Sus scrofa: one gene and its partners. The protein of the gene in region 2 purifies or fractionates together with the protein of the main gene of each other region. This does not show direct contact. Links are inferred from orthologs where the notes say so. Each region holds a gene or a part of one and is shown on either strand. Other genes may lie near its edges.

Region 1 (8,018 bases), on a different chromosome or scaffold from region 2:
TCAATAAATATTTACTCTCTAGGATTCAAGGAAGTGTCAGAGGATTAGAGGCAGGAGAGGTCCCTGTAGGGGCCAGAGGCTTAATAGTCTGTGCTTCATCCCCAGCTCTGCCCTTCTCTAGTCTTATAACCTTGAGGATTGGATTTCACCTCACTGGAGCCTCAGTCTCCCCGTTTATCAAAAAGGGCGGATACAGGCTTCACAGGGCTTATTATGAATATCAGATAGGAACATGAATATTAAATTAATGACTCCTTTCAAGCACTTAGAATGAGGCCAGCATTCAGTATGGGTTTAGCAAACACCAGCTCTGTTAGAGCCACTCAGGGAAGGGTTAGACTAGAATTTCACCAGGGCCTTCAGGGCTCCCAAACTCTCTGATCACCCAAAACTCAGTGACAGTCATGCGGCTGTCATTTTGACATCAAGACTGTATAGCAGGCCCTCAGGGTAGTGGAGTAAGGGGTACAGAATTCACCATCTCTCTGGGGAGATCCAGAATGCTCTTACAGGGAGCTCCTGTCAGTGGCTCAGCCGTAACGAACCCGACTAGCATCCATGAGGACGCAGGCTTGATCCCTGGCCTTGCTCAGTGTGTTAAGGATCCGGCATTGCCCTGAGCTGTGGTGTAGGTCGCAGATGCAGCGTGGATCCTGCGTTGCTGTGGCTGTGGCACAGGCTGGCAGCTGCAGCTCCAATGCTACCCCTAGCCTGGGAACTTCCATATGCTGTGGGTGCGGCCCTAAAAAAAAAAAAAAAAAAAAACAGGAGTTCCCGTCGTGGCGCAGTGGTTAACGAATCCAACTAGGAACCATGAGGTTGTGGGTTCGGTCCCTGCGCTTGCTCAGTGGGTTAACGATCCGGCGTTGCCATGAACTGTGGTGTAGGTTACAGACTCGGCTCGGATCCCGCGTTGCTGTGGCTCTGGCGTAGGCTGGCAGCTACAGCTCTGATTCGACCCCTAGCCTGGGAACCTCCATATGCTGTGGGAGCGGCCCAAAGAAATAGCAAAAAAAAAAAAAACAAACCACAAAACACCACCCCACAATGCTCTTACAATGGTGCTGACCGAAACCACACACAGCAGCACCAAGGAAAGGGATGTGGGCTCTGCAGATGTGGACTCCGCAGATGTGGGCAGAGGAAGACAGCCCTATGAGGGAGGGGCTGTTAGTCCCTCCTGCCCCTCACAGATGGGGAAACTGAGGCTCCCAGATATATCTCCCCCAAATGTGTTTCAGCATCTCAGCTCCATGGAGCTGCCTCAAAGAGTGACTTACTCAAGAGGGCCTCTGAGGGATTAATTAGCAGGGCAGCCTGGAAGCGGGGCGGGGGCAGAAAGACCAGGCAGAGGCTTTCTGACTCACCGAGGCCTGGGGTGTCTGAGACAGACTTGCATGATGTTTCCAAAGAAGACAAGTAGGTGAGGGGAAGGCAGGAGACACATCTTAATCACAATACCAGGAATGAGTCCCAAGGAAAGAAACTTCCAGGCAGCTTGCTCTGTTTCACTCCCAATTCAAGGCTGAAGCATCCACAGAAATGTGTGGAGTGTATGTGTGTTCATGGCCCAGCGCAAGGCTGGTAGCCACAGGGAGACACTGAGCAGGTGAGGCAAGTTCCAGGTAACTGAAAGGCCTGTGATGACAAACCCCCGGGGGCAGGCACCTTCACTGAGGGCATCTTCCTGCTCAGCACCAGCCATCCCAGGGGGCCCCAGCAGAGGCAGAACAGGGGTGCCTGCACCTGGCATACGGCAGTGATGATCAATGAAATTTGTCCAGATGAATCTCTTCTCATTCATCCATTCCTCACTGTTGAGCCCCTACTATGTTCCAGGCACTTACAGACCTTCTTTTGAGCGTCAGGACAACCCCAGGAGGTGGGTTCCACTAGCCCATTTTTAACGAGGAAACAGGCTCAGGGGCGAGGCGATGTGCCACGATGGTCACCAGGTCAGGAAGACGGCGGCGGCAGTGATTTCAGTCTGAGGTTCCTCTTTCAGCAAGAGGAGCCTCCCCCAGAAAGTCAACAGACATCCTCGGAGCCTCCCTGTGGGATGGGGAGTGTCCTGGGGCTGGCTTTCATTCGATGATGTGCGGTATGTGATATATTCTCCATTTTACAAGAGGGGCTGGACTCAGGAAAGTAGGGCTTCAAGTGTCTGAGTCCCGCTGCTCCCCCACATTAAACTCACTTGTTCTCTCTTTGTCCACAGACATCACTTTCAACACTTTCCTATTTTACATTTTAAAGCATGACATTCTCGGGCTTTAAAAATCAGATTTCCCTGTGAGATGCGAGCCAAGGACTAGATTTCTTGATGCAGCTTACGTCGCTCTCCCCGGAATCTGGGACTTGAGGGGGCGACAAGAACCTCGGCCCAACAGAGCGGGTTCAAAGTTCCGCTTGGGCAACTGCACCTTGTCCACTGCGCAGGCGCCGCTCCAGTCTCCCGCGCTCCCAACTGGCCCCCTCCGTGGGCGAACCCACTTCCAGAAGGGGAGGAGGGTACGCGTTCCTCCCGAGATGGTCCAAGCCAGCCTCTGGCCAATCAGAAAGCTGCTTTTATCACCGCTTCTGGATATAAGTTGTTGGAGCTGTTTTTCCCTGAACTTTCCAGAGGTGAGGGGGCGGGAGGTGGAGATGATTGACATGCTCTACAACTATTAGCCAAGCGAGAAAAGTTTGAAGAGCAGATACTGCTACGAATTACCTGGCGAGAAAGGGCTGTTATCCCCGCCCCTCCTTCCCACTGGTCTTCGGGAGCTTTCGGGTGTGGGAGCTTTTGGTGGCAGCCAATCCACAACCAGCAAGGAGGAGGAGGAGGAAATAGAGAAGGCGGGGCAGGCGGGGCATGGTTGCCCGAGAAGCCCATCTGTTGCGGTTCTGGGGGCGGGAAGGTTGCTGGATCACTATTCCTGCTTCCCACTAACTGGAGCTGTGCCTGGGACGGGATCCGAATCGCCTCGCTGGCATCTTCCAGGTTACTCTCTGAGACCTTGAACTTGGCCCCATCTGGCGATCCTCCGCGCCCTGCCGCGACCCTAGTGCCCGAGAACTGCCCGCGGGCTGCCCAGAGGGTCGTTGTCCCCACCGCCGCCACAGGACCCTTCAGCGCCAGCCTTCCCCACTCCCCTTCCCAGGCAGGGCCCCCCAACGCCTCCAGCAGCCTCTCTTCCGCTGTCTGGTCCGCGGAGGTGATTGGTTACCATGGTGAAGCTGGCAGCGAAATGCATCCTGGCAGGTGAGTCTGAAAACTTGCGGATGAATACAGTCGACGGAGGCCAGAGAGTTATCAAGAGTTTTTGTTCATGTAAATTGGCTACTCTCTTTCCCTTTCTCTCTTCCAAAGGCGAGTTAATGCAATTACTGATAGAGTAAATTCCATTAGGCGTAGACGAATTATCTTCCACAGCACATTTGTAGCTCCAGTTGCTTTTCCGCACTCCCTGTCATACTCTGAGACCACTGTCACTAATTTGAGCTGTGCTCAGAAGGAGTAGACTCGCTAAAAAAAATAAGGCTAAGCTCACCCCAAGTGCTTCAACTAAACCATGTCCTGTACCCCGAAGTTAGGCATCAGTGACGTGATGGTCTTATGAGATTTTTTTTTTCCTGAACCCATTCCTCTCAAAACGGGGATAGGAGGTAGTCATGTACAGTTGAGCAGAGTCTGCAAAAGTTATGTGTGTTGTCTTTAAGACCCAGAGTTACTGTGCTGCCCCACAAGCAGGAGGACATAAAGGACTCTCCCAAACGTCAGAATCTCTGTTTTCCTGACTGATACATCCCAAGCACACAGAACAATATCTGGAACATAGTAGGTACTCACTAAATATTGGTAGAATGAATGAAAATGTGACATGCGCATTTGTAGTATTTCTGCTCATTTCGAAAACATTTGCCATGATTATGGACCTGCGACCAAGGAGCATGTATGTACTTTCCTGAGTCCTTACTGCATGTCAGGCAGGTGTATTTCATTTCATCCTCTCCCAGGAGGCAGCACACTGGGTTAAGTGCTGTGCTCGTCTGACCTTACTGTGGCCCAAGGTCACCCCTAGCAAAGGAAGGTCATAGGTGGGATGTCAACCCCCAGATTTGCCAACCTTCAAAATCCTTCACTTGTGTGACTTTGGAAACCTGTGACCTTTCCAGCTTTTCCTGACCAGCTCAGGAATGAAGCAGTAAGAACGTATATCGAAGAAAAAGATTCCTTTTTCAGTCTTTATTCCAGACTGAAAGGGATGATATTTTTTTAAGTGACTTTTCCAATTTGGAAATAAAAGGGTCACACCGGAGGATAACTGACAACAATCACTCAGATCATTCTGGAGCAAATGAAAATGAATGGTTCTCAAAAGCAGTCTCTAGTTGCCAAAGCGCCAGGAGGGGCAGTATTGTGTAATAGGAATAATTCTGCTGTTCCTCTGATTGGCTGTGTCCTCTTGAACAAAAGTACTTCTCTGAGCCTCAGTTTCCTCATTGATAAGGTGCGAATGTTTTTTCTGAAGTTAGATTTTTTTTTTTTTAAATGGGCTTCTCTGAGATCCCATTGTGGCTCAGCAGAAGCGGACCCGACTAGTATCCATGAGGCTGTGGGTTTGATTCCTGGCCTTGCTCAGTGGGTTAAGGATCTGGCATTGTGGCTGTGACATAGGCCAGCAGCTACAGCTCTGATTCGACCCTGCCCTGGGAACTTCCATATGCCGAGGGTGCGGCCCTAAAAAGAACAAAAAATGAGCTTCTCTTAATTTTTTTTTTTTTTTTGATCTTTTTAGGGTCACACTGTGGCATATGGAGGTTCCCAGGCTAGGGGTCAAATCGGAGTTATAGCCACTGGCCTATGCCACAGCCACAGCAGCACCAGATCCGAGCTGTGTCTCCAACCTACACAGTAGCTCATGGCAATGCCGGATCCTTAGTGAGGCTGCGCGAGGCTGGAGTTGGAACTTGTGTCCTCATGGATGCTAGTAGTCAGATTCACTTCCGCTGAGCCACAACGGGAACATATGTTATTTTATGTTTATTATAGTGGATTTACAGTGGGCTTCTCTTTCTATTCTTTCTCTTCTTTTTTAATTCAACTTCCATCTCGCGGTTAACTTACTGAGCACCCTCTATGCACCAGCGCTGTGCTGAGCCCTCATCACCACCACAGCTCATCTCCACAACCCTATGGGGTCAGGATGATTGTCATCCTCACCTACAGACGGGGCAGTTGAGGCCCAGAGAGGTAGGGCCCTTGCCCTGGGTCACACAGCTGGATGTGGCTGAGCTCGGAGCGAGACCCAGGTGATCTGATTTCCAGAGCTTTGTTCGTAGCCCCATACGATTCTGTCGTCCGGCCTTGATTCTAGACCCCTTGCCCTTCTTCACATCCACACCGTCGGGAACTTGTTTTACCTGATTTCACCCACTGCCTTGAGATGTCATTGCTGAGCTCCACCCCAGCCCTCAGTCTGCCACTTCCTTTTTTTTTTTTGTCTTTTGTCCTTTTAGGGCCGCACCCGCAGCATATGGAGGTTCCTAGGCTAGGGGTCTAATCAGACCTGTAGCTGCCGACCTACACCAGAGCTCACGGCAACACAGGATCCTTAACCCGCTGAGCGAGGCTAGGGATCGAACCCTCAACCTCATGGTTCCTAGTCGGAGTTCATTTCCACTTCGCCAGCCGCTTCCTTTCGAGGCCTCTTACCTCCTCTTGGAAGTTTCCAGGGACCGAAAGACCTCAGCGTAGGGATTCACTCTGCACAGCCCCACCTCCACCACCCATCAAATATTCGTTCACCCCCTTCCACCAACGCGCCCCTCACTAGCCTACCGTGTAAATAGAGTCACTCTGCCTTTTTTTCCCTCAAATAACTAGTCACTGAGGGACCTGGCAATTCAAATGGTTTTTCAGTCCACGTATGTTTTGAGTACCTACAATGCATGCGTCGTGACGCAAGGTGCACTGGGAGTACGAGGACGAACCGGAAGCGCTGAGTTGCGCGTAGTCCCTAGTTACACAGAAAACACAGATCAGATGCCCTTTGTGTGCCAGATCCCAGACAGATACCTCAAGGCCCCACTGCTAATTGCTCTGGTTCAGGCGAAGAAAGAAACAACACTTAACATTTATCTATATTTTATGTGCCTCAGAATCACTTAAATATCGCTTCATATGTATCAGGCGCTGCCCACGTTAACTCATTAAATCCTCATAACAGGAGTTCCCACTGTGGCGCAGTGAGTCAAGACTCCACCGGCAGCAGCTTGGGTCACTGCGGAGGCATGGGTTCGATCCCCGGCCTGGCACAGTGGGTTAAAAGATCCACCCAGATGTGGTGCAGGCCGGCCACTGCAGCTCAGATTCAACCCCTGGCCCCTGAGCGTCCATATGCCGAGGTTGTGGCCATGAAAAAAAAAAACCCAGAACAAGTCTATGCAATCAGTGCTATTATCCCCATTTTGTGGATGTGGCAGCTGAGGCCCAGAGAAATGGCTGACCCAGGGTCACACAGCTGATAAGCCATGGAACCGGAGTCTGTGCCCTGCGGAGTCGTGATGAATTGCCTGTTGCCATATGTGGGGATGATGATCGGGTCTCCCTGGAGGGCTTCTCTGATGCCATCTCATGCTGCCCGCACTGAGCCACAGGAACCGCACAGTTAAAGATGAAGGAGCGAGAGAGGGCCTTCAGAGGCTGTGCAGGAAGGACATTCTTTGAGCTTTGCCTGGCAGAGCACGGGCAGGACTAGGGTTTGGGTTAGGGGAGACCTGGAAGAGGTTATATCTTCGAGGAATTTTCAGGGATCAAGAAAATAGGAGTAGAGAGCCTGGATTTTGCATAAGGGATCACCGGAGACCGAGTTGCAAGATGGGAAGGAGAGCGAATCCTTGACCAGCTCTGTGTGAGCATGACAGGGAGGCACTGTTTTATGAAGGTCCATCCGTAGATGTCAAGTTCAGGGTGGGTGAGAGCAGGGAGACAAACTAAAAGGAGAGAGGGCCAGTTGGGAAGTGTTTTCAGTCGAGACCCAGTCAAGAAAAAGGAAAATACATCAGGCGTTTCAACAGAGAGATTATAATGCATGGAATTGGTTCAGCAGGTGTCAGAGAACTGAAAATGCCAGACGACAACAGAGAAATGACACAGAAGTGGTAGGTGGAGGTCAGGGTTTTCGGAAGCTTGAAGAAGAACCTCCACCCCCCACTCCACCCCACTCCCCCACCCCCGCCCTGAGCTGAGATCCAGACCTCTGAGGAGGGGGCACTGCCCAGCCACATGGTTCCCAGCGTGATGCTACCTCATGCCACAGGTCTCTAGGACACTGGCCAGGAGCTCAGCCCTGTGTTTAGGGCAAGACACCCCCAAACCAATTCCAGACCCTCCTGAGGGTCAATGTCTTGGGACCACTCCTAGTACGAGTACTCCTAGCATTCGGTGCTACGTAAGGCAGGGTCCAGGCAAAGAAGCAGGAACCACACTGGGTATCTGGACAGTGAGCGCTCAGTGCGGGGTGTTCATTTAACAGGTGCTGGAGGACTGGAAAGAAAAGGGGACCATCAAGCAGCACAAAGGGTGACTGCAGAAAGGAGGTTCCCCCAGGGCCGGGGGAACGGACAGAAGAGAGCAGGTTATGGGAACCACGAAGCTCAGAAGGGCCCTGGATGCTGAGCTGACACCGATGTCTGAGGGGGCGGGCTGAGGTCATCCGCAAGTGTGAAAACTCAAAGCACATCTAGAGGCAGCAACTAACCTCTCCTGCTGGGGTGAAGGCCAAGGCTAGGAGAATGCCAAGAGAAACAGCAAGCGAAGGGGAAGGAGGGAGTCCCTCGCCCCCTCCAGCCCTCCGGTCTTGCCCTACGACTCACCTTGGCCGAGCCTGACAGGAAGCCCCTGGCGAAGGAGAAACTTGTGTGTTCAGAATCCCAGCCCCAGCATCACAGGGCAGAGCATGGACAGCCGGGTTTGGGGCTGAGACGGGAGCCTAGTTCAAGGGAACTAGGGCAGCACCCGCAGTGACCAC
Region 2 (7,324 bases):
AGGGGAAATCATTGAGTTTTGAGCAAAGAGGTACGTGACTTGAACTTTCATGTTGGGAGGGTCACTCTGGCTGCTGGTTTGAGATCAGACTGAAGGGGCAGCGAAAGCGGAAGCAGAGGGACTTGCAAGACAGCAGGTGACGGTGCCTCTGAGCAGAGTGGGTGTCATGCCCTCAGCTGAGCTTGGAGGAGGAGAGAGCTGCCAGGACTCCATTAAAGCAGCAAGCTAAGGAGATACTGTTATGGCTCAGTGGCTTAAGGACCCGCATTGTCTCCATGAGGATGCAGGTTGGATCCCTGGCCTTGCTCAGTGGGTTAAGGATCCAGCAGTGCTGCAGAGTGCCATGTAGGTCGCAGATGTGGCTCGGTTCCGGTGTTGCTGTGGTGTAGGCTGCAGCTGCAGCTGTGGCTTGACCCCTGACCGAGGAACCTCCATGTGCCGCCAGTGCTGCCATAAGAGGAAAAAGAAAAATGAAGCCCCAGGCCAAAAGCGCCCGACGTAAGCAAGGGACGAAGCCGGAGTTTCTAGACCTGTGCCCTAAGCGGGCTGCGGGGTGCAATGTAGTGGGCAGTGAAGCAGTGGGAAGAGTGTCCCCGAGTTTCCTCTTCGCCTTCCATGAGGAGGCCTCAGCAGAAGCGCCGAGGGGACCTGGGAAAGCGGGGCTCCACCAGAGCATGACCGGTGGCGCTCCTGGGTCCTTGCCTGCAGCTCTGAGGCTTCAGAGCCCGCAGGGCACTGGGCTTGGGGGGTCCCCCTGAGGCTGCCGGGGGAGGCCTCTGGGATTGGCTCGTCAGGCCGCAGAAGCCCACCCAGGAGCCAGGCTGCTCAGTGGAAGGAAGTGGCCAGAGGGCAGGGCAGTGTCTTGCAGGTCCATCTTGCGGGACTGCGCGTGGGTTGAAAGCAAGCAGACCACACGGGGAAGGGCCTAAGCAGCCGGGTCTCGTGGCGCCTTCTGTGGGGGTGAGTTCGGCGCCTGTGGCACACGGTGAGGTGGCTGCTCATCCCATGGCACTAGCGCCCTCGAGGAACTGCCTTTCAGGTTGAATTTAAGTGGTTTTACCCCGAGAATGGGCGAGGTGACTGCGGAACCGGCCCGGGGAAGTGGCTGTTGAGATCGAGGAGCCGGGAAGGAGCAGGCTGGGCAGGAAAGAGGAAGCGCTGGGTTTGGGACGCGTTCACTTGGCGGCGTCTGTCCAAGCAGGAGCCCAGGGGAGCGTGAGAGGCGGGGGGCTGAGCTCTGCTCCGCTGCAGGGAGGGCGGTAAGACTCCTGCTCTTGGGGCACAGGAGGCGGCCCGTTCCTGGCGAGGAGGTGGCGGCCGCCGGAGCTGTGGGCGTGGGATCATCAGCCGGGAGTGAAGAGGGAGCTCTCGCTGGTGGTTTGGAGATGAAGGGGCTGGGAACTCGGCGTCGGGGGAGAGCGGAGAGGGCACGGGGATGTGGCGTGTTTGTCAGGGCTCTTTGGAAAAGCTGCGTGTTCGAGGGAGAGAGTGTGATGTGCAGACCCTGAGAGAGAAGCCTGTGGGTGGGTGCTCAATCGCCACCACTGTCGCCTTGGCCGTGGAGCCGGTCCTGCGGTGCGCCCTTCGCAGGGGCCCCTGGCAGCCCCGTGACGCGCCGTCTCGGGCAGAGAATGGGGGCGGCAAACAGGCATCTGGAGTCTGCGGTCACACTGTGCCCCTCCCTGGTCACCGCACCACTGCCAGCGTTCCCCTGCTGTGACCCAGTCCAAGCAGGAAGCACGCCAGCCCCCACCTCCTGGTTGCAGAGGACCCTTGACCCGACTTGGGGTTTTCAGAGCCCCCCCCCCAGCCCCAGGGGGTTCTCTGCTGCAGGCCGTGCATCTGGTGGAAAACGCTCAGTAGTCAAGTGAGTCGGGCATCCGGTCGGAAGTGGTGGCGATGTGAGCACACTGGTTCTCTCGGGGCCTAAAACCTGTCTCTGAAGTTTCTGTTTCTGCCATTTTCCTTTCAGATTGCAGATTTGAAAGCTGCCAGGCAGCTTGCTTCTGAAATCACTTCCAAAGGAGCGTCTCTGTACGACTTGCTGGGCAAGGAGGTGGAGCTGAGGGTGAGTGGTGTCCAGGAACTTGGGTCACCTCCTTCTCGAAGCAGGTTTCCAAGGTTTCTCTTCCAATTCTCTTTCCCTGAGCTTCTGATTTTATTAAACTGTACGTGGCTAAATGAGATCCCGTGTGGAAAAGTAATCCGCACACTGTTCGCTGCTGGTCCTGCTTCTGGCGGGCCGCTCTCCGTTTCTTACACTCTGCCATCTAGTTCAGGAATGGCACATCCGTGCTTGCCGCCTCCTTGTGCCCATGCTGCTTGCCCCTACGAACTCAGCCTCAGCTTTCTTCCCAACAAAATGCTTTTCTGCACCTGCAGGACCCAAATCTGGCTGCCCAGTGGACTCATCAGGGGATCTTCACAAACTACGAGTCCAAAATGTGACTTGGGCTTTGGGAGGGTTTTCTTTTTTTTTTTTTTCCCGTCTCTTTAGGGCAGAAGACTTCTGTCTCAGAAGTTCCCAGTGCTGATGGGTAGGCCCTGTGCCCCCTTGGTGGTTCCTTTTAGTGCTACCGGCAGGGCCCAGGTGCTGCTTCTCATTGGTTACAGTTTTGTGCTGCACTTGGTTTGGGGGTTCCCTGAATGGAATGCAGGTAAAGAGGCACATTTGGGAGACAAGATTTTAGATTTTGGATGGTAAGTTCAGTTTCCCATGGTGTCAGGGGACAGGAGGCCTCTGGCTGGAAAGGAGGGCCTCCTGCTCTGGAGACGCCAGGTTGGCAGAAGGATTGCAGGAGACACTTGGAGGAAGTGTGTTTGTGTCAGAGATCCACATTGTAATGGAATTTTTTTTTTTTTTTTGCTTTTTAGGGCTGCATCCAAGGCATATGGAGGTTCCCAGGCCAGGGGTCAAATTGGAGCTGTAGCCACCGGCCTCCACCTCAGCCACAGCAATGCCGGCTCTGAGCCATGTCTACAGTGTACACCACAGTTCATGGCAATGCCAGATCCTTCACCCACTGAGTGAGGCCAGGGATCGAACCTGCAACCTCATGGTTACTAGTCAGAGTCATTTCTGCTGTGCCATGACGGGAACTCCTGTAGTGGAACTTTCGAGAACCAGTCCTTAAGCCATATCTAGATCTGGGAATTGGTTTTGAGAATTCCTCTTCTGAAAAAATATACAATCTTTTCATTGTTTCCCATAGGAACTGAGAACAGAAGCAATTGCCAGACCTCTGGAAATAAATGAGATTGAGAAAGTGATGAGAATTGCAATAAAAGATATTTTGGTAAGATTATTTTGCATTTATTTAATGGTTTTGCGCTTAGGACTTGAAAATATTTATTCCTGGCTCTACAAGGCAGAACAGCCTACTCCTAGTAACAAATAAGAGATATGTTAGTGGGAAGGAGAAAAATTTTTAATTCTAAATTTATTTATTTATTTATTTTTAATTTTTTAAATTTTTTTTTTTTTTTGTCTTTTTAGGACCGTACCCGCGGCATATGGAGGTTCCCAGGCTAGGGGTCTAATTGGAGCGATTGCTGCCGGCCACAGCCACAGCAACACCAGATCTGAGCCACGTCTTCGACCTACACCACAACTCACGGCAATGCGGGATCCTTAGCCCACTGAGTGAGGCCAGGGATCGAACCCAAAACCTCATGGTTCCTAGTCGGATTGTTTCTGCTCTGCCACGACGGAAACTCCTAAATTCTAAATTTACAAATTTACAAATTTAGAATTTACAAATTTACAAATTTACAATTTTACAAATTTAGAATTTAACCTAGAACTAGGTTACTTGCTGTTATTTTTCCATTCAATGTATTTTTCCATTCAATATAAATAACATTTTCTCATGTTACTTAGACTTATCAGTTTTATTCATTTAATAATTCTTTTAAATTCTTCAGTAATTTTAATAAAGATCCTATTTTATGGACTCTTCATTTTTTTTTTAGGCCACACCTGTGGAATATGGAAGTTCTCAGGCTAGGGGATGAATTGGAGCTGCAGCTGCCAACCTACGCAGCAGCTTTTGGCAACACCAGATCCTCAGCCCACTGAGCAAGGCCAAGGATCAAGTATCCTCACAGAGATTACATCGGCTTCTTAACCCACTGAGCCACAGTGGGAGCCCTGACTCTCTCATCTTTTTTTTTTTTTTTTTCCTTTTTTTTTTGCTTTCTTTGGGCTGCTCCCACGGCATATGGAGGTTCCCAGGCTAGGGGTCCAATTGGAGATGTAGCCACCGGCCTACGCCAGAGCCACAGCAACGCGGGATCCGAGCCGTGTCTGCAACCTACACCACAGCTGACAGCAATGCCGGATCGTTAACCCACTGAGCAAGGGCAGGGACCGAACCGGCAACCTCATGGTTCCTAGTCGGATTTGTTAACCACTGCGCCATGACAGGAACTCCTCTCTCATCTTATTTAACCAGATTCTCACTGCTGGGCACTGAAATGATTTCCATATTTTCTCAATTCCAGACAGCGCTATAATAAATAGAGTGATCAGCAGCCTCTACTCCTCACCCATGATCAGTTATCACCCGCTCATCTCATCTAAAGCATTCATTTGCAAATCACGTAGTTGTGGGGGCAGGGACTCAGACTGCTTGTGTTTGAATCCCTCTGTGTCATCTGAGGCAAGTTACTTAACCTCTCTGTGCCTCACCTTTCTCATCTGTAAAATGGGGGCAGTGGCCATGTCCACCAGGGTCCTCCTAAACATTCAGTCTGACTGTGTGTCATATAGCATCTCTGGCACTTAGTAGGTATTGAGTCACTAGTAGAGATTCATTTTATTCAGCAGACACAACAGGGGTCCTTGTGTAAATGAGGAGTAGGTATAAAATAATTTGCTGAGAGTTGTACAAAATCCTGAGGTTGATAATACTCTTGTCATACTATGGTCATACTTACTCCCTGGGCAGCCCAGTCCAGGGAGTCAGAGCCGCAGCAGGGTGAGAAAGGCAGGGCAGCTGAGATGGGAGATTGGGTGTATAGAGGCAAATTGGTCACATAAATAAGAAAAACTTTTTTTTATTAAAGTATAGTTGATTTGGAGTTTCCCTCATGGCTCGGTGGAAACAAATCTATCTAGTATCCATGAGGATGCAGGTTTGATCCCTGGCCTCACTCAGTGGGTTAAGGATCTGGCGTTGCTGTGGTATAGGCCACCAGCTACAGCTCCAATTCGACATCTGGGAACCTCCATATGCCACGAGTGCGGCCCTAAAGCCAAAAAAAGTGTTGATTTACTGTAAGTACATTAAAGTTCACAGAAGCCGTGGTTTTCACTGTTGGAAAAAGGAATTACAACCGCGAAAAGGGAAAAATTAGAGAGAACCCTGAAACAGGAGGTGTTGGTTAAATACATGGTTTTCGACAGATAGATGTGGGAGTAAATTTTGCAGTACGTCTGTGGATGTGGAGCATATGTAAGACGTGTTTGTGTACAAACACATGCGCATCCATACACACTTTCTTACATTTTTTTCCACATTTTCAAAATGTAGTTTATTAGGTTTTTTTCTTTCTTCCAGCCCATGATAGGGGGCTCTATTTTTATTTATTTATTTATTTATATGGCAGACGATTTACAATGTTGTGCCAATTTCAGGACAGGAAAGTGACCCAGTCGTACATATTTGCGTAGTCCCTGTCTTGTGTTACTTTCTGTCATGTTCTATCCCGAGAGGCTGGATGGAGTTCGCTGTGCTCTACCCCAGGACCCGTGATGCTTCTCCGTTCTGAATGTACTAGTTTGCAATGACCAACCCCAACCTCCCACTCCCTGCCCCTGCCTCCTTAGCAACCATGGGTCTCTTTTCTATGTCTGAGCTTGTTTCTCTTTTGTAAATAGGTTCATTTGTGCCATATTTTAGGTTCCACATATAAGTGATATCATATGGTATTTGTTTTTCTCTTCCTAACTTCACTTAGTATGATAATCTTCAGTTGCTTTCATGTTGCTACAAATGGCGTCATTTCCTTCTTTTTCTGTGTCTGAGTAGTATTCATTGTGCACATGTTTGTGCCATGTCGTTTCAATCCATTCGTCTGTCGATGGACATTTAGGTTGTTTCCATATCTTGGCTGTTGGGAGTAGGGCTGCAGTGAACATAGGGTGCATGTATTTTTTTTTTAATTTTCGCTCAGAGGTACATGGAGTTCCCGGGCCAGGGATCAGATCTGAGTCACAGTTGTGGCAAGGCTGGATCCTTTTACCTAGTGTACTGGGCCAGGAATCCAACCTGCAACCTGGCACTTAAGAGACACCCCTGATCCCATTGCGCCACAGTGGGAACTTGCATGTTTTTTTTTTTTTTTTTTTTTTTGGGGGGGGGTCTTTTTTCCTTTTCTAGGGCCGCTTCCCGTGGTATATGGAGGTTTCCAGGCTAGGGGTCTAATCGGAGCTGTAGCCGCCAGCCTACGCCAGAGCCACAGCAACACGGGATCCGAGTTGCATCTGCTACCTACACAAAAGCTCATGGCAACACGGGATCCTTAACCCCCTGAGCAAGGCCAGGGATCAAACCCGCAACCTCATGGTTCCTAGTCGGATTCGTTAACCACTGAGCCATGACAGGAACTCCATTTATTTGAATTGTAGTTTTGTCCAGATAGGTGCCCAGGTGTGGAACTGCTGGATCATATGGACGTTCTATATTTAGTTTTCTGAGAAACCTCCTTAGTATTTTCCATAGTGGTTGTACCAGTTGGCAGTCCCACCAACAGTGTAGGAGGGTTCCCTTTTCTCCACACCCTCTCAGCATCTGTCATCTGTAGACTTCTTAATGATGGCCATTCTGACCAGCGTGAAGTGGTCATTCATGCATTTCTTAGCTCCGAGCATACCTAGCACCCAAGTCTTGGCTTCTAAATGCCATTCTCCACACAGAGGACCCAGGGCTCTTGGGAAGAAGGGGCTGATTCCAGAGCTGGGATGAGAAAGTACAAGATCTCCTTTATTATTATTTTTTTCTTTCTTTCGTTCGTTCTTTCTCTCTTTCTCTCTTTCTCTCTTCCTTTCTTCCTTTCTCCTTCTGTCTCCGTCTGTCTGTCTTTTTAGGGCTGCACCAGTGGCATATGGAAGTTCCCAGGTTAGGGGTTGAATCAGAGCTGCAGCTGCCAATCTGTAGCACAGCTCATGGCAACACTGGATCCTTAACCTACTGGGTGAGGCCAGGGATAAACTTGTGTCCTCATGGATGCTAGTGAAGTTCGTTACTGCTGAGCCACAATGGGAACTCCTATATTTTTAAAAAATTATTTCGTATAAATTGTATATTTTATTTTATTTTTT
Region 3 (8,107 bases), on a different chromosome or scaffold from region 2:
ATCCACATTAATTTTAACTGTCTCAACAACAGATGGGAACACAACTGAAGGCAAGTAGCAAGTCCCAGAGTGTGAACCCTTTCTCACTCCCGTGAGACATCTGACACACACATTTCATTTCACCTGAACTATAAGCTCCTTGAAGACAGAAAGCCTGTGTTCTCCTTAATCTGCTCACATTTCTACAATGCTCCATACACACCTATATACTCAATCGCACTGATAAATGGACTTACCCAAGATCTACAGAAATAGGTAGCAGCTTTCAGGAACACTTGGGTCCTACAAATTAGTGCCAGAAGTTAATCCTACCTGTTCTAGGCCTCTTTTCGGAACTGTCCTCTATTTCTCCCTTTTGAACAAACTAAAGAAAAAGTCCGGAACGCTAACGGATTTAGATTTAGGTTTAGAACATCAATGGCCTAAGGAACACCGGGGGGAGGTGAGCCGATTACAGAAGAGAACTCCTGAGAGGCCCGGCTTGCTGAGCCTAAGCACCCACGGAACCTGCTGGACACTAGCTTCCTGGTCCGCAGAGTGGGGTCCACGGGACATCACTAAGAGGTTCCTGCAGAGCAAAACTCCAGGCCCGTTTTAGGGCCTGAGTCCTGGCAGAGCAGGGTGCCCAGCCGATTGCGGGGGAGGGGTGTGGGCGCAACGACAGACGACTGGAGGAGTCAGGTCCCTCGGATCTCTCCACAGGTCGGACACAGGGTAGGGAAGGCCACAACGCTCCCAGAGCCCCAGCGAAGCGACCGGCTCCGGGCGCTCGGGGCGGGGCTCCTCTGGCCCCAGCACCAGGCCGGCAGCAGGGAAAGCGGGCGAGCGAGGCCGTCCAGGGAGCTGGGTCCGGCTCAGGTCTTACCATGGTGAGGGCGGTGGTGAGGCGCTCCCGCGCTCCAGCTCCACTGCGACTCCGGCTGGGGTGGGAGGAAGGGGAGCACCCGCCGCTCAGAACCTGCTGCCCCCCTGACAGGAGCGCCGGCCGCTTCGCCTCCTGCCAAGATGGCGGCCTCGAGCCACGTCTCCAACCGGAAACGGCGCGGGTCAAAGGCCGGGAGGCGGGGCGCCGTGAGTGGGGAGACCGGGCGCAGGGCTGCTACGCAGGCTGTGCCATGGAGTCCTGGAGCCTCCACCTCCTGCGTGGAACCGCTGGCTTCAGTTCCTTCACCGTCCTCAGCGCCTTCGTTTAAATTGCGAAATCTCTTGCAGTTTATAAAGCTCTCAGAGCCACTGGTAGCATTTAACATACAAAATAACTGGTGTTCATAAGGGACTAGTAGCCAGAATATATAAAGAATCCTTAAAACTCAACAATGGAAGGAGTTCCCCTTGTGGCTCAGTGGAAACGGAACGGGACTAGGATCCATGAGGATTTGGTTCCATCCCTGGCCTGATGCAGTGGGTTAAGAATCCAACATTGCCTGAGCTGCAGTGTAGGTGACAGACACAGCTTGGATCTGGCATTGCTGGTGGCTGTGGCAGCAACTGCAGCTCTGATTTGACCCCTAGCCTGGGAACTTACATATGCCACGGGTGCAACCATAAAAAGACAAAAACAAAACGATAGATGGCCAATAAGCACATAAAAATATGCTCAATATCTTTAGTCCTTAGGGAATTGCAAATCAAAGCTTGCTAGGATGGCTATAATAATAAGAGTTGGTGAGAATGTGGAGAAATTAGAACTCTCATACACTGCTGGCGGGAACCTGAAGTAGTTTAATTGTTTGGGGAAAGCTTGGCAGCTCCTCAAAAAGCTAAGCATGGGGTTACCATGTGACCCAGCAATTCACTCCTATGTATGCGCCCAAGAGAGTTAAAACCACACACCCATACACAACCTTGAACACTAATGTTCATAGAAACATTGTTCATAATAGCCAAAAAGTGGAAACGATCCAAGTGTCCCTCAGTACTCGAATGAATAACAAAATGTGGTATATTTAGAGTTCCCACCGGCAAAGCGGAAACGAATCCGACTAGGAACAATGAGGTTTCGGGTTCAATCCCTGGCCTCACTCAGTGGGTTAAGGATCCGGGGTTGCCATGAGCTATGGTGTGGGTTGTAGACGCGGCTGGGATCTGGCATTGCTGTGGCTCTGGCATAGGCCGGCAGCTACAGCTCCGATTAGACCCCTAGCCTGGGAACCTCCATATGCCGTGGAGGAAGCTCTAAAAAGACAAAAAAAAAAAAAAAAAAAAAAGGTAGTATATCTAAACAATGGAATATTAGTCACAAAAAGGAATTAAATTCTGATACATGATACAACATGGATGAACCTTGAAAATACTATGTTAAGTGAAAGATGCCACTCACAAAAGACCGTATCTTCTATGACTCCATTTATGTAAAATATCCAGAACAGATAAATCCATACAGAGAAAGAATGGCCGGCAGCTACAGCTCTGATTTGACCCCCAGCTTGGGATTTTCCATAGGTCGCAGGTGCAGCCCTAAAAAAAATTAAAATTAAAAAATTAAAAAAGCGGGAGAATGTGTTAAATTTGAATCACAGGTAAATAATAATTTGTTAATACTATAAATATGTCCCATGCTATGGACACAGTGGAGGGGAAAGACTATAATGTAATAAAAATGCTATAAAAGTAGTACAGAATGTCAGGAATTGAGGCAACCCCTGAGTTTGCCTAAAGGCTGAGTGGTCTGACTTAATAGGAACTCATACCTACTGATCCTTTCCCTGGGTAAAAAATGCAGACCGTGTTTCGGGATCTAGAGCTTAACTCTCTACCAACCGGAATTCATCTGATTTGCTGCCTGCAGCCGCTAGATGCCACCACAGACACATCTGTTGAAATCTAAACAATCACGATGTGAGCTCCTCTTTTTCTGCTTGGCTCCTTAGCTGGGGAGAAACATAATGCGCGAGTTGAGCTCTCACGAGAGTTAAAGGAAGTCTCGCGATTTTTCTGTTTCTTTCTTCGCTCTTTTTATTTATTTATTTATTGTTTGTTTGCTTAGCTACTGACAACACGCCAGTTGCTCCCCTTCTTTCCAAGTAAAAGTGGCCTGGCCTGAGATTAGGGTGAGACCCCAGCCCTAGGCTGGGGTTCCTTCCAGATAGAAGAGACGGATTCGGAGGGGCTACAGGTAATTCGTACTCACCCTAACAGAGAACGCTTCCTCTCTCCCAAGAGGAATAGAAAGGACTCCTTTTCTGTCCTCGCAACCCCTCTCCACTTCTTTCCGTTTTCTTACCCACTATACTTTCTCCCTTCCCTTCACGCCATCACCGACCATTCTGCTTGCCTTACTCCCCACGAAACGTAAGGGGCATCCGAACTACAAGACGAGACCAAGGGGGGTGGGGTGGTCATGGTATAGATGAGGGTGATGCTTTTGGACCAAGAGACTAGAGTTTAACCTCTCTTAGAGGAACAGCCCCCGCCCTGGTGACTCTAGAAACAGAATTGTTTCTAGAACCTCTACAGCTAAGAAATCCCAGCAGCCTTGGGAAACTGACCGAACCTGAGGCTCACTTGAGCCGTTCTCTACAAAAGAGCTTTGGGGAAGGTGATGCAGAAGTTGGCTGTTGTTTCGCTCCAGGATTTCTTCGTTCTCCGGTCAGCCTGCCAGCAGTTCCTAAATAAGGGCTGCAGCAGAATGACTTAACTGCTTGAACTGGGGTGAGGGTTTCATGTAAAACTGGTGTCTCGGAACCATTGCTGGTTTGGAGTCCAGCTCCCCACAGAGTGCTTACTGTCCCGTGATAGGAGCTGTGTAATCATGTTTCCTTTTACTTAGACCAAGATTATAGAAAACCAGACATATGATGAGCGTCTAGAGATTAACGACTCGGAAGAGGTTGCAAGTATTTATACTCCTCCCTCAAGACACAAAGGTAAGAAATAAATGAAGAGAAAAGAAGACAGACGGTTCTCAGAGCAAAGAGCAGGATGGACTCATGATTGTTTCCAATAATTTTTTAGTTTATAATAGCAAATGTTGACTTTCAGAGTCAAGTTATTTGTTGTCGCTTCTGTTTTCTAACTACTTAAGGAGGGAGAAAACACCGCCACCCACATTGCAGGATCTTCCTTCAATCTGACCAGTTTCCCATCATCATTTATTTCGTGATACTCTTTACCCATAATCTGCCAGGGGTTCATGTTTGTTTATTTAATTTATCAAAAGTCTTGGAGTTCCCGTCGTGGCGCAGTGGTTAACGAATCCGACTAGGAACCATGAGGTTGCGGGTTCGGTCCCTGCCCTTGCTCAGTGGGTTAACGATCCGGCATTGCCGTGAGCTGTGGTGTAGGTTGCAGACGCAGCTTGGATCCAGCGTTGCTATGGCTCTGGTGTAGGCCGGTGGCCACAGCTCCGATTCGACCCCTAGCCTGGGAACCTCCATATGCTGCGGGAGCGGCCTAAAGAAATAGCAAAAAGACAAAAAAAAAAAAAAAAAAAGTCTTTTGCTCAGTTTTGAAGATGCTTCAGTAACCTGCGCTTAACCTGCAATGCCAATTAAAATCTCAACGGAATATTTTTAGAGGACTTCACACCATCATTTATTCAACAAACATTTTTTGAATGCCTGCTGTCAGCCTTATGCTTCGCACTAGGTATGCTGTATTAAAAGAGACATTAACCCTGTCATCCTGATGCTTGTGATTACGGGAGACAGACGCCAAATAAATAAAGAGACAAAATTACAGATGCATTAAGTGCATGATGGAAGCAAAGAGTTTGATGTTATGGAGAATATTGGTGAGGAATGGGCTCCACTTTTGATAGAAGGATCAAGGAAGACCCAAGGAGGTGATAGTTGAAGCTGAAAGATGAGAAGGGTCTCGACATTGAGGAAAAGTAAGCCAGGAAGAGGGAGCAGCAAGTGAAAATTGAAAAGGCACTGAGGCCAGAAAGAACTTCATTAGTTTGAGGACTTGAAAGAGACCAGCATATGGTAGGGGGAAGTAGCCTCAGAGGTGGGCGGGAGGCATGACAAGCAGGGCTCAAGAGGCCATATTCCTCTTATGTGTGACATGGATTGAAAGGTGCTACGGAGAAAGTAGGGGGTCAGTAGGACTGTTGCCATGGTGGAGTTGAGGTGACAGTGGCTTGGATGTGGTGACAGTTGATAATAGAATTGGTTAATGCCAGAGGTATTGTTGTGGTCAGATCACTGAGAGTTGCTGAAGGATTGAATTTAACTCCTGACTTAGGAATCAAGGATGACGTCCAGGCTTGTTTGTTTGCTTATTGTGGTTAATTTGCCTACATAAAAATTTGGTATTTTGACGATTTTGAGGTATACAGTTCAGTAGCACTAAGTGGTTCCTGTTGTTGTGTAACTATTTCCAAAACTTTTTCATCATCCCGAATAGAAATTGTACCTGTTGAACAGTAACCCTCCATTCCCCTTCCCCTCCCAGCCCCTGCTAACCTTTTTATGGTTGAATAATATTCCATTGTATATATAACCAAATTTTTTTTTTTTTTTTTTTTTTTTTTTTTTTTTTTTGTCTTTTGTCTTTTGTTGTTGTTGTTGTTGTTGTTGCTATTTCTTGGGCCGCTCCCGCGGCATATGGAGGTTCCCAGGCTAGGGGTTGAATCGGAGCTGTAGCCACCAGCCTACGCCAGAGCCACAGCAACGCGGGATCCGAGCCGCGTCTGCAACCTACACCACAGCTCACGGCAGCGCCGGATCGTTAACCCACTGAGCAAGGGCAGGGACCGAACCCGCAACCTCATGGTTCCTAGTCGGATTCGTTAACCACTGTGCCACAACGGCAACTCCCAAATTTTGTTTATCCATTTGTCTGTTGATGAGAACTTGGGTGGCTTCCACCTTCTGGAGATTGTGAATGTGCAACTATGTACATTGGTGTACAACTGTCTGAGTCCCTGCTTTCAATCTTTTATATAAAACCTATACACCCAGGTTTCTGACTTAAGCATACTTATAATCTTGCCAGCCATGGTCATTATAATTTGTTTTTAGTTTAGGCAAGTTAATAGGCAGAAAAATAGGCATTTGATTGACTTAGAAATCATTGAACATATTTTCATGCCAGTTAATAATATCTTACCTTTGACTATGCTTTTATTTATTTTATTTTATTTTATTTTTTTGCTTTTTAGGACCTGCAGTATATAGAAGTTCCCAGGCCAGGGGTCGAATCAGAGCTGCAGCTGCTGACCTGCACCACAGCCAACAGCCACGCTGGATCCTTAACCCACTGTGAGGCCAGGAATGAACCCCCATCCTCATGGGTACTAGTCATGTGTGTTACCGCTGAGCCACAATGGGAACTCCTGATTATGCTTTTTTTTTTTTTTTTTTTTTTTGTCTTTTTAGGGCCTCGTCCACAGCATATGGAGGTTCCCAGGCTAGGAGTTGAATGGAAGTTGTAGCTGCCGGCCTATACCACCGCAATAGCAACACAGGATCCGAGCCATGTCTGCAACCTACACCATAGCTCACAGCAACACCAGATCCTTAACCCACTGAGCAAGGCCAGGGGTCGAACCTGCGTCCTCATGGATGCTAGTCAGATTCGTTTCTGCTGAGCCGTGATGGGAACTCCCTGATTTTGCTTTATAATTGTTCTGAATATTTTATTGCTTTTATCTTATAGACATTGATTCAGATTCATATTTATGACCATTAGTTGCCAGGAACTAGATCATTTTCTTCCATGTAAAATTTTTTCAATTGATCCTTACAACAGTCCTGAAAAATATTACTAACTCCATCTAGAAGTGAGAATTCTGAGACACAAAGAAATTAAGTTATTTTGTTAAAGTGATAGCATTGTCCTTTACACCCAGTTTTCTGCCTATATATCCAGCACTCTTTTGCTTTACTAATTACTAACCTCATTTCACCAATGTGTAAACTAAGCACAGATTTTATACTATTTATGTAATGGCAGATAATCAATATAATGTCTCACCCAATGCCTTAACCATAGTAATGCCTAAAACATAATAATTCAAGTAAACATATCTTTTTTTTTTTTTTTTTGATCTTTTTAGGGCCATAACCATGGCACATGGAGGTTCCCAAGCTGGGGGTTGGATAAGAGTTGTAACTGCTGGATTGCACCACAGCCACACCAACTCGGGATCCGAACCGTATCTGTGACCTACACCACAGCTCACGGCAACACTGGGTCCTTAACCCACTGAGCGAGGCCAGGGATCGAACCCGTATCCTCATGGATACTAGTCCAGTTCGCTAACCACTGAGCCACGACAGGAACTCCAAGTAAATACATCTTGAATTGAATTGAATTAAATTTACAGAGCCGACTAGAATTCAGTTTCCGGTCTTTCAGCTAGATGTTCTTATAAACCCAGTTCCATAAAATGGTTAGAGCATAAAATATTATAAACTAAAAATATTTGTCTTTAAAAATCATTTTGACAATAACCTAAAGGGAAAATCTTCTTCCAAGGACTTCCTCATTCTGCCCATCTTCCTAACAAGACTATGGCTGATAACAGTAGTGATGAGTGTGAAGAGGAAAATAACAAGGTACGTACAACCCACAGCATCTTGTGAAATTTCCGCTTTGAGTTTTTAGTAGTAGTTTGACACCAGTTCATTAGCAGCCTTTTCTTGAATACTCACCTCCAGAGGTTGGGTATCTTTAAGCTCATGGAGGACAATTCAAAGAGCCGTAAGATTTTGACTCTCCTTCAGGAATAAGGCTTATTATTATATAGCTGACTTTTTGGTGAGAAATTTCATATAACATAGCCTAGTGTTTCACAAACTTTTTTTTTCTTTTTCCTTTTTAGGGCCACACTCAACGGCAGATGGAGGCTCCCAGGCTAGGGGTTAAATCGGCGCTACAGCTGCCAGCCTACACATAGCTACAGCAACGCAGGATCTGAGCCGTGTCTGCAACCCACACCACAGCTCACAGCAATGCTGGATCCCTGACCCACTGAGCAAGGCCAGGGATCAAACCTGCATCCTCATGGATACTAGTGGGATTTGTGTCTGCTGTGCCACAGCGGGAACTCCTTAAAAGGTAATGTTTTAAGATAGCCCCACTTCATAACTAGTGTGCTGTTTTATATCTTACCTACAAAGTAATTTGGGGGCATTTTTCTGTGGTATATAAAGTCTTT

What was found. The genes of interacting proteins can lie anywhere in the genome.
Region 1: the proteins of CLUAP1 (region 2) and IFT27 purify together in Homo sapiens (affinity purification with mass spectrometry; 3 studies listed by BioGRID and IntAct, with this or other methods). This does not show direct contact. The link is inferred for Sus scrofa from reciprocal best matches to the Homo sapiens genes CLUAP1 and IFT27.
Region 3: the proteins of CLUAP1 (region 2) and IFT46 purify together in Homo sapiens (affinity purification with mass spectrometry; 3 studies listed by BioGRID and IntAct, with this or other methods). This does not show direct contact. The link is inferred for Sus scrofa from reciprocal best matches to the Homo sapiens genes CLUAP1 and IFT46.

The regions. Positions count from the first base shown.
Region 1 is NC_010447.5:10,991,381-10,999,398, forward strand, and holds the start of IFT27 (intraflagellar transport protein 27 homolog), read left to right. Parts: upstream 1-2,801; 5' UTR 2,802-3,213; coding exon 3,214-3,247; intron 3,248-8,018. UniProt on the Homo sapiens protein: Small GTPase-like component of the intraflagellar transport (IFT) complex B that promotes the exit of the BBSome complex from cilia via its interaction with ARL6. Not involved in entry of the BBSome complex into cilium. Prevents aggregation of GTP-free ARL6.
Region 2 is NC_010445.4:38,737,315-38,744,638, reverse strand, and holds part of CLUAP1 (clusterin-associated protein 1), read left to right. Parts: intron 1-1,972; coding exon 1,973-2,068; intron 2,069-3,212; coding exon 3,213-3,296; intron 3,297-7,324. UniProt on the Homo sapiens protein: Required for cilia biogenesis. Appears to function within the multiple intraflagellar transport complex B (IFT-B). Key regulator of hedgehog signaling.
Region 3 is NC_010451.4:45,856,702-45,864,808, reverse strand, and holds the start of IFT46 (intraflagellar transport protein 46 homolog), read left to right. Parts: upstream 1-2,890; 5' UTR 2,891-3,115; intron 3,116-3,769; 5' UTR 3,770-3,866; intron 3,867-7,425; 5' UTR 7,426-7,460; coding exon 7,461-7,505; intron 7,506-8,107. Other genes in the region: ARCN1 (coatomer subunit delta), read right to left, coding at 866-868. UniProt on the Homo sapiens protein: Forms part of a complex involved in intraflagellar transport (IFT), the bi-directional movement of particles required for the assembly, maintenance and functioning of primary cilia. May play a role in chondrocyte maturation and skeletogenesis.